Linked DNA regions of Drosophila melanogaster. Each later gene encodes a partner of the first gene's protein in a complex. Each region holds a gene or a part of one and is shown in the gene's direction. Other genes may lie near its edges.

What was found.
Region 2: Wdr59 (region 1) and Wdr24 share a complex: the UniProt entries of both Drosophila melanogaster proteins name them as parts of the GATOR complex.

Annotation. Positions count from the first base shown.
Region 1 is NT_033779.5:11,089,586-11,095,597, forward strand, and holds Wdr59 (WD repeat domain 59), read left to right. Parts: upstream 1-1,858; 5' UTR 1,859-1,981; coding exon 1,982-2,293; intron 2,294-2,356; coding exon 2,357-2,567; intron 2,568-2,623; coding exon 2,624-2,907; intron 2,908-2,967; coding exon 2,968-3,141; intron 3,142-3,196; coding exon 3,197-5,050; intron 5,051-5,177; coding exon 5,178-5,252; 3' UTR 5,253-5,511; downstream 5,512-6,012. Other genes in the region: CG16854 (uncharacterized protein), read left to right, coding at 1-834. UniProt on the Drosophila melanogaster protein: A component of the GATOR complex, which functions as a regulator of the amino acid-sensing branch of the mTORC1 signaling pathway.
Region 2 is NT_033777.3:29,741,424-29,746,701, reverse strand, and holds Wdr24 (WD repeat domain 24), read left to right. Parts: upstream 1-1,609; 5' UTR 1,610-1,702; coding exon 1,703-1,820; intron 1,821-1,878; coding exon 1,879-2,518; intron 2,519-2,580; coding exon 2,581-2,913; intron 2,914-2,966; coding exon 2,967-3,051; intron 3,052-3,111; coding exon 3,112-3,267; intron 3,268-3,324; coding exon 3,325-3,783; intron 3,784-3,849; coding exon 3,850-4,035; intron 4,036-4,098; coding exon 4,099-4,455; 3' UTR 4,456-4,730; downstream 4,731-5,278. Other genes in the region: IntS11 (integrator 11), read right to left, coding at 1-939, 1,019-1,232; Gnpnat (Glucosamine-phosphate N-acetyltransferase), read right to left, coding at 4,963-5,004. UniProt on the Drosophila melanogaster protein: An essential component of the GATOR subcomplex GATOR2 which functions as an activator of the amino acid-sensing branch of the mTORC1 signaling pathway.

The DNA of each region.
Region 1 (6,012 bases):
GCCCTAACCCATGACTATTTTAATTTCCCCTCACTACTGGATGAGGCCATGTTGCAACAGTTGATGCAGCTGCAAGATTCCGGATTGCTCAATCGCACGGTGGTAATGTTGCTATCCGATCACGGACTGAGATGGGGTTCCTTTCGTCGTACCTACCAGGGCATGATGGAGGAGCGCCAGCCCCTAATGATGCTTTTGTATCCGCCATGGATGACCGAGCGTTATCCGGAGGCAATTGCCAATCTTAGGTTAAATGCCCGCCGGCTAACCACACCATTTGATGTGCACGCGACAATGTTGCAGCTGCTAAATCTTCACAATCTGGAGGCAGATCAGTTGCAACGCAGATCAACAGAGATGGACGAGCCGGATAGCACGCTGCCCAGAGGCATTAGCCTATTCCTGCCCATCCCGGCTGCTCGGACCTGCGAGCAGGCAGGGATTGCCGCCCACTGGTGCACCTGCCATCAGCGCCAGGAGCTGCAGACAAACGATCCACGTGTCCAGCGGGCGGCGCGCTATCTGGTACGCTTGATCAATAACCGACTGAAGGATAGCTCACAGTGCAGAACCCTATACCTGAACTCCATACTCCAGGCTCTGATTGCAGCGCCGCACTCGAAGATTGTGAAGAACATTTCCACGGACTACGCAGTGGACATCACCCTGCGACTGCAGACGAAGCCCGGGCTGGGTGTGTTTGAGTCCACGGTGCGGATGACGGGCTATACGACCGTACTAACGGGCACCATTAGTCGTCTGAATCTGTACGGAAGCCAGAGCTACTGTCTCAACGATCCGGCGCTAAAAATGTTCTGCTATTGCCACAGATAAGGCAATGGCAATGTAACTGGGAGCTTTCGGGGATGGGGAGGATGTGTTTGACGTCAAAGACTTGAAACCCATTAACGTAGCCTTAGCCATAAAACCTAGTTTATTTCTATGAAATAGCCAATGTTTGTATAAAAATACTTATCCAATTTTAGCCTTTGCCGTAAGGAGTTCCCAGTCTTAGGCACCTATGTAGTCACGGTAGTTGAGCGGAATTTGTTTATTTCCCACTAACTTAGAGGACAATAAACTGAATGAACTAATAATCGTAATAACCGCAGAATTACTTTGTGTATGTAAAATAAATGATAAGCTATTACTGACTAGGGAGGGAAGTGGCGAACATATAAATAAATAATAGTATCCAAAATATGTAGCACTTAATGTTGTAGACCATAATTGAGTTGTTATATACATATATAATGCACTTTTTGTTTAGTATCTCATGATTTATAGCCTTATGCTGAGTTAATAAATGAATAATAGGATGAACTTTTTATAAATGAGTCAATTGGGAATATCCCTTTCTAGTTACAAATTTATTTAGATGCTAAATTATATTTAGCCACGTACTTTAATAATTTTCATAACATTTATGAACCAATGCACATGTATATTTTTGGTGATTGACAATTTATAAAATGTAATAAATCTATAAAAAAAATCGAACGTTTTTATTTAACAAGACCATATATATAAAATTATAAATTTTGCTCTGAGCTCGTTTACCTGTTTTATATCATAAATTCAAATCCCGATAGCTATAACCACAATTTTATCGATACTATCGAAAAAACAACATTTTCAGCTATAGTTGTGCTGTCGTTATTCCAGCTAGATTTATGGGTGTTACAAACTTTTGCGACAAAATATTAGGTACAATTTTTTCATATAATGTTCTAGTTTAATTTTGTAATTTTTTTAATATATTATCAAAAACTATAGCAACAGCATTATTGAAAAATAGCCAGCTTAACGAGGTCCTGGAAATTCATTTGTCGGAAAAAATGCTTAATTGCCAACACAGACGCCTGTTGTTATTGTCTATCGTTCTTATCAGTTCAGTTTCTTCGTTTAATTTTTGTTTGTTGCAAAAATGGTTTAAATTCGCAGTCTTTTGCTTTTTGAGCACTTATTAGAGTAGGACAATATGCCGCCCACGGAGACACTGCGTCCGGGAGAACGCGGAACAGCCGGTGGACCGGGAGCAGGAGCACCCGAACAAACGTACATCGTCAGGCAGAGCAACAAATACTATGAACACCGAGATTCCCAGGCCACGGCCATGTCGGTTGATTACTCGGGTCAGTGGGTGCTCCTCGCGGGCCGTGGTCACCTGGCTTTGCAGCGTTTGGGACAGGACGATGGGTCTCTGCGACGACATGAACGGCAATCGAAGTACGAGGTGTCCGTAGCAGAGTTTGCCATATGTCCCAGTCGCAAAGAGTACTGCGCCATAGCGGTAAATACATAAAGTTATCTACGTATAGGCGGCGTTTATCCCAGTTTGACCTTTGAATTTCAGACTAGCCAGCACATAGACATCGTTCGCTGGGGCACTGCGGAACCACACTACGAGATGTCCTTGCGTGGGCATACTCGAACAGTGACCGACATTGACTGGCACGGCAAGGATCCGAATCTGCTGGTCAGCTGCTCAATAGACACATTTTCTCATATTTGGGACTTAAGGGAGCCCAGGAAACCAGCCCTGTCCTTGAATGCCGTGTGCATGTGTAAGTTTCTACAAAATAATTTCAACTTTTTTATATTATATTTAAAATTCTTTCAGCTGGTGCTACACAAGTGGGATTCAACCGCGTTTCGGGCAACCTTTTGGCTGCTGCCCATGATGGAGATTTACGCATCTGGGATATTCGCAAGGGTAGTTGCCCGACGCACTATATCACAGCACATTTAAATAGAGTGCATGGCATCAATTGGAGCCACAAAAGGGAGACCTGCTTGGCAACCGCCAGTCAGGATGGAACGGTCAAGTACTTTGATGTATGTAATCCTCGCAGGGCCGAGAAGATCATTACAACCATGTCGCCCGTTTGGAGAGCGAGATACACGGTAATTTATATTGGTTTATCAATATTGATTGCTATTCTAAATACATCTTGTTCCATACAGCCTATTGGCAACGGTCTGGTTAGCATTGTGGTGCCCCATTTGGGACGCGGAGAGAATAGTTTGCTGCTCTGGAGCAACAGCAAGCAAACGGACCCTATTTGTTCCTTCGTGGGGCACACCGATGTCATTCTTGACTTTGCCTGGCGTCCAAATCGTGAAAGTTCCAATGAAATAGTAAGTATTTTAAAGATACCACAATGTTCTTACTTATGCATTGAGCTTTAATTAGGAACTGGTCACTTGGTCCAGGGATCGCACGCTGCGGGTGTGGAAGATCGATGATAATATGCTAAAGCTTTGCGAACCGTCTGCGGAAGAAATAGAATCCCGTTTCGAGCCCGATCTCAGTGAGTTAAGAGTGCCTACTCCTCCAGAATTCCTGCATCCACGATCAATTTTGGTTGCCGCTTCGTTGCCCATATCCACGGGTGACGGTGCTTGTAATACCTTGCCCATGGCTCGCTCCCCGAGCTTTGGAGGTGGCTACTATCGCAGGGAAGAGCCCCACATAGCCAGATCACTAACAGATCAACCCACGTGTTCGCTGCACCACGAATTCTCGCTGCTCAACACAAACATGCCTCATGTGGAGGTAGACACACTAGATGCCATAAAGCGGTACGCCTGCTTCAAGATTTGCGCCGGTGGACACACGGTTATTTTACAAGTGACTTTCACGACATCGTATCCAAGTCCTAGTGCTCCGCCGGACTTTCAGCTTTGCCAGGGAACCACTCTGTCCAGTGAAGTTAGTGGAGTTCTGCTAAAAGTGCTCCGTTGCAATGCATTGCAACGGGTCAAGAAATCCCGCACGTGCCTGGAACAATGCCTACGTGCTCTAGTGGCGGCTATGAAGAAAAAGGTGGCCGCTGTAGGCGGAGCGGATCGTAGCCAACTGCTCCTGCAATCCCCTCGGCTGGAAGGAGCTTTGTCGAGCACCCTGCACGATGCCTGCATTCCATATCCGCGGACGTCAGGGGTCCATTTCAATGCCATTGGTATGCTGACCACTTTCGCCCAACCAGTGAACAACAAAAGGCTGACCCTGCGGCAACACACCGCATTGACTCCACGGACTTTTTCATCGATTAATGGTAGTGGATTGCTAGGCAATGTGATGGCCACCGCCCAGAGGGAAGCTAACGCCTCCTTTTACCTCCAGGAGAGGATGATTTCGGGAAAACCGGGCAAGCAGCGAGCCATCCGACAGATGAATGGAAGTCCGGTGGTTCACGTATACGACACAAGTAGCTTACTCCACATTAGTCGGAGAATGGCTCGGGAGTTCTCCCTCGATAAGTGCAACATAGCAGAAACGTGTCGTAAAAATGGTGAGATCTGTCGCCAGCATGGGCGCTTGGACTTGGTGCCCGTGTGGCTATTGGCGGAACTGATAGCCACACCCCAAATTCCACATGAAACACTCAACGATCTGCTGTTCTACAAAGATCCCTTCAAGAAATCTCTGCTGGAATCACTAATAATGCATTATGCTATCTCCGGTGACATACAGACTGCTGTGCTGCTGGCTTGTTTGTTTGACAAGTGCCCCACGGGTGGCGGTGCCATTATGGAGAAGACAGTTCGACTTCCGCCGCAGCTTAACTCGCAAATTTCACCGTATCACACGGTCCTGCCGCTTGACGTCAAGTCATCTTCTTCATCGAACACTTGGCAGCAACTTAAGCAACTACGCAGCAACTCTTGGTCCGACTCCCTGGATTTGGAGATTAAGCAAATCCAGTCTGATGCATACGCTTGCTCATTGATTAGACGGACTAAGATGCCACTGTTTGATCAATTTAAGCGCGCCTATGCCGAAATTTTATTTGGCTGGCAGTTGCTTTCGAAGCGGGCTTTGATCCTCAAGCACACGCAGAATACACCACCTCCAGTCCAGGGTGTGGAATTCGTTACCGAGTGCAGGAAGTGTGCCAAGCCCAAACGGACGCCCAAATGCGAGCCCTGCAAGCGACCCGTACTCTTCTGCGTCCTCTGCCGTTTGCCTGTGAAAGGAGCAGCCAATGCGTGTCTGGCTTGTGGCCATGGCGGTCACATTGATCACATGATGCAGTGGTTTGAGGTTGGTATCTATTTGAGTTTGATTCGACTGGTTTCTTTTTCACGAACCAAACGATGTATGGATTTGGATTTATGGATTTATGGATATAAATATATTCATGTTTGCTATTTTCTTGTTTAACTTTCAGAAACACAATGTCTGTGCTACGTGTGGCTGCAAGTGCTTGGAGCGCACCTCAGAGCTGCTAGCCCTACTCAGCTGATTCAGACCTTGAGTGATGTGCATTCCTTTCAAAAATAATCTTACTTAACTTTCTTTCGTCTGTGTGGATATCAAAATAGTTAGGTGTTTTTTAGTCATTAGGCCAACAATTTTTGTACGATTTGCATACCATTGAGAAATATATGACCACTTACTAGCCAAGCTAAGGGTAAAAGCTTTATGCAACTATACACTTAACCAAAATCATATGGTTACGATAATTCAAAAAGAACTGTTTCTAGATTTTTTCAAGTACATACATTTATTCTTTTTTATTATCGACTTTTGCTTTCTGTTTTTTTTTTTTTTTTTTAGCTTAAATTCTACGATTTACTTGTAGTTTTTGCATTTGCAATCTAATAATTTTTTTGTTTTGTCCGTCATAATAAAGTTTGCTTTAGTTTTGAAAATAATTTTTAAATAAGTTTCTACAGCTCCTATTCTTGTTTTTGTGTGTTTTCTTTTGTTCATTAAGCGTCATAAAGATAAAAAGGAAAATAAAAGGAACGCAAAAATAAAATAATAAAAAAATATATTGCAATTTAGTAGGCGAATCATTATAAAGATAATACAATTTTGATATAGCGACATAAACATTAGATATACGGCCTTACTATAAACAAATCACGCACAAAACAAATAAACAATAAAATGAAAGGCATAGATTCAATTTCAACTTTTTAAGGGATGAACTTAGCTGAGAGCTTTTTAGCATACTAACTTCTTTTTGGACTTAACTACAAGCGTGTATTTATAAATGT
Region 2 (5,278 bases), on another chromosome or scaffold:
CCACGGCCATTTTGACCTCGACCACCTGGCGGTTCTCGAACTCCACCTTCTTGGCGCCACCGAGAATCTTGTTGCCCACGGTTCCCTGCACACAGTAGCCGGGCATAATCACCATGTTGTTCTCATTCGGCGCCCACTTCTTGAAGATCTGCAGGGAAAGACCTGCGTGCAGCATGCCTGGCGTGGCGAACACTACCATCGCGCCAGGATTGTCGATGTAGGCCTTGTCAAAGGGCTTGATGTGCTTGAAGTCGAACATGTTGCGGTGAACGAAGGTCTTGCGGATCTTCTGGTTCGTCCAGGTGATGAACATTTTGTAGTAGGTATTGGCCTTCTCGGTAAGACCCAGAGCAAAGTATATGGGGTACTTGAGGTTCATGCGCTCCCAGTACGTCTCCAGCAGGATGCACAGCTCCTGGGCGCGACCCAGGGCAAAAACAGGGATTAAAACCTTGCCGCCCTTAGCCACGCACTCGTGAACTTTCTTGAGGAAGTCCCTCTCGCGACACCGCTTCGAGTCCCTAATGGTAGTGGCGTAGGTGCTCTCGGAGATCAGCAAGTCCGGCCGGCACTTGTCTATCCAGGCGGCTCCCAGATGCCTGTCTGGAGTCATGTTGTAGTCCCCCGTGTAGACAACGCTCTGGGAGCCCACCTTGATCCAGAACATGGCGGCGCCCAGGACATGGCCTGCATAGTAGGCTTTGATCTCAAGGTCCGTGTCCACCATCATACTCTGGTGAAGTGTGACGGGAATCACCTTCTTCATGCAGTCCTTGATCATCTGGGTGGTAAAGAAGTTCGACTCGCCTTTCCGCTCTACGGCCACCTTCCGCATGTCCTCCAGGAGGATGGGTGCTATGGCCTTGGTCGGATGCGTCATGTAGATGGGCCCCGTGTAGCCCACAATCTCTGACATGTAGGGCAAGGCCCCGCAGTGATCTGGAATGCATGCAATCGATAAAGAAACGATTAGAGCCAGTTGACCAGATAAGAGCGCCTTTGGGAGGCCGAGACTCACCCAGGTGGAAGTGCGAGATGATCACACAGTCAATGTGGCTGGTGATCGGACCCTCCGGCACTATGTAGGAGAAGTCCGGGAAGCGGCGCTCGTCGTTGTAGCCCATATGCATCCCGCAGTCGAGCATTATGTTCTTCCCGCCCATCGAGAGCAGCAGACAGCTGCGGCCCACATCCTGGCCGGCGCCCAAGGGCGTTATCTTGATGTCCGGCATTTCTGGAAGGGATCAGGATCACCCGGCTCCACTCTCCTGCTTTCTTGCGGCCACTTGTTGCGCTGGTAAATGAAATTGTCGAAAAAGTCGACCGTGATTTTTGTAAACAGCAAGGCCGCACGAATGGCGTTGCCACTCCGTCGGTGTGGATGGTCCGGCAACGACGCGCTCCAACTGGCAGATCTTATTGGAGTGTTCCAAGAAGTTTCAAAGAATTTAATAGCTTAATTGAAATTAATGTTTCTGTCTGTATATGTATAGAATACATTAATTATATGTGAATAATACAACTTTAGTACAATAAGTCTTTTGTTCAAACAATATTCAACATCTGCATTTGGGAACACTCGCGCCAATGGTTTGCCGCTCGAGAAACGGTCATACTGAACCGAAAGGAAAATAAAAGATAGCGTCTTGTCTTATCAAATCACTGTTTTGCTTTCTGCGGGCGAACTTGCAACTGCTGCAGGATGCCCGATTCCGTGGAGGACACCTCCACAATCTCGCTGCGGATATGCCTGGAAGGACACGCGAACGCCCTGGCCCTGAATAAGGACAACAACCAGATTGCTTTGGCCGGAAGAAGCTGTAAGATTAGAATTGCCCAAGGTCTTTCTATAAATACACATAATTTGCTTCCGAACAGTGCTTAAGGTGTACTCCATAAACAGCAATGGCTTCACGGAATCGTGTAATATGCGCGGAAAGAACCAGAATCTTAGCTACTCCGCCAACGATGTGGCCTGGTCCACCTTGGATAGCAATCTTTTGGCTACGGCGGCCACGAACGGAGTGGTTTCCGTGTGGGATCTCTCCAAGTTCGGCAGGCAGAAGCAGCTGCTTGTCTACAACGAACATGAGCGCACCGCTCATACCGTGACCTTTCACAGCAGCGAGCCCAACATCCTGATCTCCGGTTCTCAGGATGGCACCATCAAGTGTTTCGACATCCGATCGGATAAGTCAATCAACACCTACTTCTGCAACTCGGAATCAGTGCGGGATGTCAAGTTCAGTCCACACACACAAAACATATTCTCCGCCGTCTCCGAGAATGGAACTGTCCAGTTGTGGGACATGCGGAAGTGGGACAAGTGCATGGTGCAGTTTACGGCGCACTACGGGCCAGTCTACACATGCGACTGGCATCCCACAAGGAATTGGCTGGCCACCGGAAGTCGGGACAAGCAGATCAAGGTGTGGAACATGGATGGCAGGCCGGGATTGGAGCACACCATTCACACAATCGCCGTAGTGGGACGGGTTAAGTGGCGACCAGAAAGAACGTAGGTTTTTCTAGCCAGGTTTAACAGTCTTATTTATATTAAATCTGTTTAATCCTTTCCAGTTATCACATCGCTAGTTGTGCCCTTGTGGTGGACTACAGCGTTCATGTGTGGGACATCCGCAGACCCTACATCCCCTTTGCCTCCTTCAACGAGCACACCAATGTGACTACTGGAATTGCGTGGCAGGGCAGCGACTCGCACTGTCTTCTGTCCATCAGCAAGGACTCCACCATTTACAAACATGCTTTTAAGGATGCCACGAGGCCAGCGCTGAAGGCAAATGCCCAGGGAGCTAGCCTGGGCAGATTTGGGGACATCTCCTTTGCCAACAAGATCAAGGAGTATGAACCCAAGACCAGCGGTGCATCCAATACCAAGTCTTCTAGCTTCATGTATGTCGTATTTGTTGTATCAACTTGTATGTTTATATGTATGTGTATTTTAGAAGTCGCCGTAAGACGAATGTGGCTGGCAGCATTCAGTTCCATTTGGACCATTCCAAAATGTACAAATTCATGGTAAACGACACGGTTAGTATGACACTATTAGGGATTTCTTTGCCAAATCTGATACTAATTGATATATTTCAGTTTTCCGGCTATCCCCTAAGCGAATCTGTTTCAAGACCCACCCAAGAACACGAAAGTTTTATTGGCTGTGCCAGGGAACTTGTTATCAGTGGGAAAAAACTATCGGAGTTATGCGAGCACAATGCAGAGGTTTCCAAGAAATACGGCAAACATAATGTAAGCGCTTGAGATTATTCCCAAAATTTGCCAAAACTTAGCATCTACATTTTTCAGGCCACCACATTGTGGAACTTTATCAAATTGTTCTACGGCAGCAATCACTTTGAGCCTCCCTTCGAGCACCGCTCCTCCTTCTCGAATCAAAAGAATCCAATGAACTCACGACGTGCCACGCAAGTAGCCAGCGATTGGCCACAGCAGCGAACTGAACTAGGCCAGGATCTCAATGGAAACACGCCGGAAACAGCCCACGAAATTGATGTGGCGAATGTGGACGATGATACGCTCGGCAGCAGTGGTGTGGAGCATCCGCCTACGAGCTCAGTGATTCTGTCCGAAACGCAAATCATCAGCGAGATTACCTTTGACAACTTTGAGCTCTTGCGCAATGGGTTTATCTACGTGGGTCCCACAGAATGCCCGAAAGCTTTGGCCTTCCCCGCCCTTCATCACGATGTGCAGGCTGCACGACCACAACTGGATCTCAAGGCGTCCGATCACGAAAAGTCACCTGTTAGTTGAGATTATTGAGAACTCGATGTATTTACAGCTTAACTAACTTATTCATCCTCTTTTTAGCCACCGCATGTTCCCACTGTCCTAAAAGTCAGCCATGTCCCGCCCATACCCATGTGGGAACCGCATAAGTTCGTCTCCGATGCCCTCATGCTAATGAACGATGTGGGCGATGTGCAAACAGCTCTGACAGTCCTTATAGCGCTGGGAGAAGCTCGGAAGCTCCTGCCCATTGACGATGCATTGGTGGTGAGTTCAAAGACAAAGTTGGGATCAGAACGGAGTTATTCATCCGGTTTTCTTCCTTTTCAGGAGCACTGGTTTTACACCTACGTGGACCAGCTGCATCGCTATGAGCTGTGGAACGAGGCCTGCGAGGTTATCAACCGCTCCTGGCTGAGATCGGTGCAGCAGCTCAACCAGCACTCGACCGCCATGCACACGAACTGTGGAGAGTGTGGACGTCCAATGGGCGGCAAGGTGGGATGGTACTGCGACAAGTGCAAGTCCATGCAGTCCGCCAAGTGCTGCGTCTGCGGTCTGATCGTCCGGGGAGTCTACGCCTGGTGCCAAGGATGCTCCCACGGCGGTCACATAGAGCACCTGCAGAAGTACTTTGCCAAACACTCCAAGTGCCCCAAGTGCGGACACCTTTGCGCGTACTCATGAGACGCGGAGGAGGCTGGGTTTGCCCAGCTTTTGCCCCCCATTTGAGAGCCTTGTAAATAGAGAAGACTTAAGCCCAATAAGTACCTTGCACTAGACACTAAACAGATTTTTATATAAATGTAGCTCGAAGATGTAAACTTGTAAAATAAGCTCAACGTTTGTGAAGTAAATTAACAGACAGGTTTAATCGATCTTCTGCAACTTTAAATAGCACAAATGTTTGTTACTTAACTTTTTTTGAAATATTGGAAAATAAAACTGTTGTCTGTTGATGCAAGTAAGTTTATAAACATTCTGGGCTTTTGAAAAAAGTGTCCACTTTATTGAATTTCTTCAATCATTAAAGGTTTTTGAAAGATTCGTATTGGGTTTTAATCGCTATTGTTGATTAGTGTTAATAACAGTTTAACAGTTATGCGAGTGTTTCAATCTTAGGGCTACTTGATGAAGGTGCTCTTAAAAGGTAATATTACAACCACCTTGGAGTTGAGAGGTCGAGCCGCACATTCAGTAGCAGAAAGGGGAGAAAAAATTATAAAATTGAGAGTTCTGTAGGGATTAAAAACAGAGAGCAACATATGTTGCGGTTGTCTTTAACTAAATATCTAATTGTATGTCCTCGCGGGTGGGTGGACAAGCACGTCCGTCCACAAGGACACCACCGCCAGCCAGCGCTGTCCAAAAATCCATCATGCCCTCAGCGCAATGGAATTTTGGCAATGCCTATATGCATTTAATGTTTTCTTAGAATCCAATTTTAGTTTTGTTGCATTGCGCTTCGCGCATTTGTAACTTTGAGATGGGGTGCTCCCACTCAAAGCTT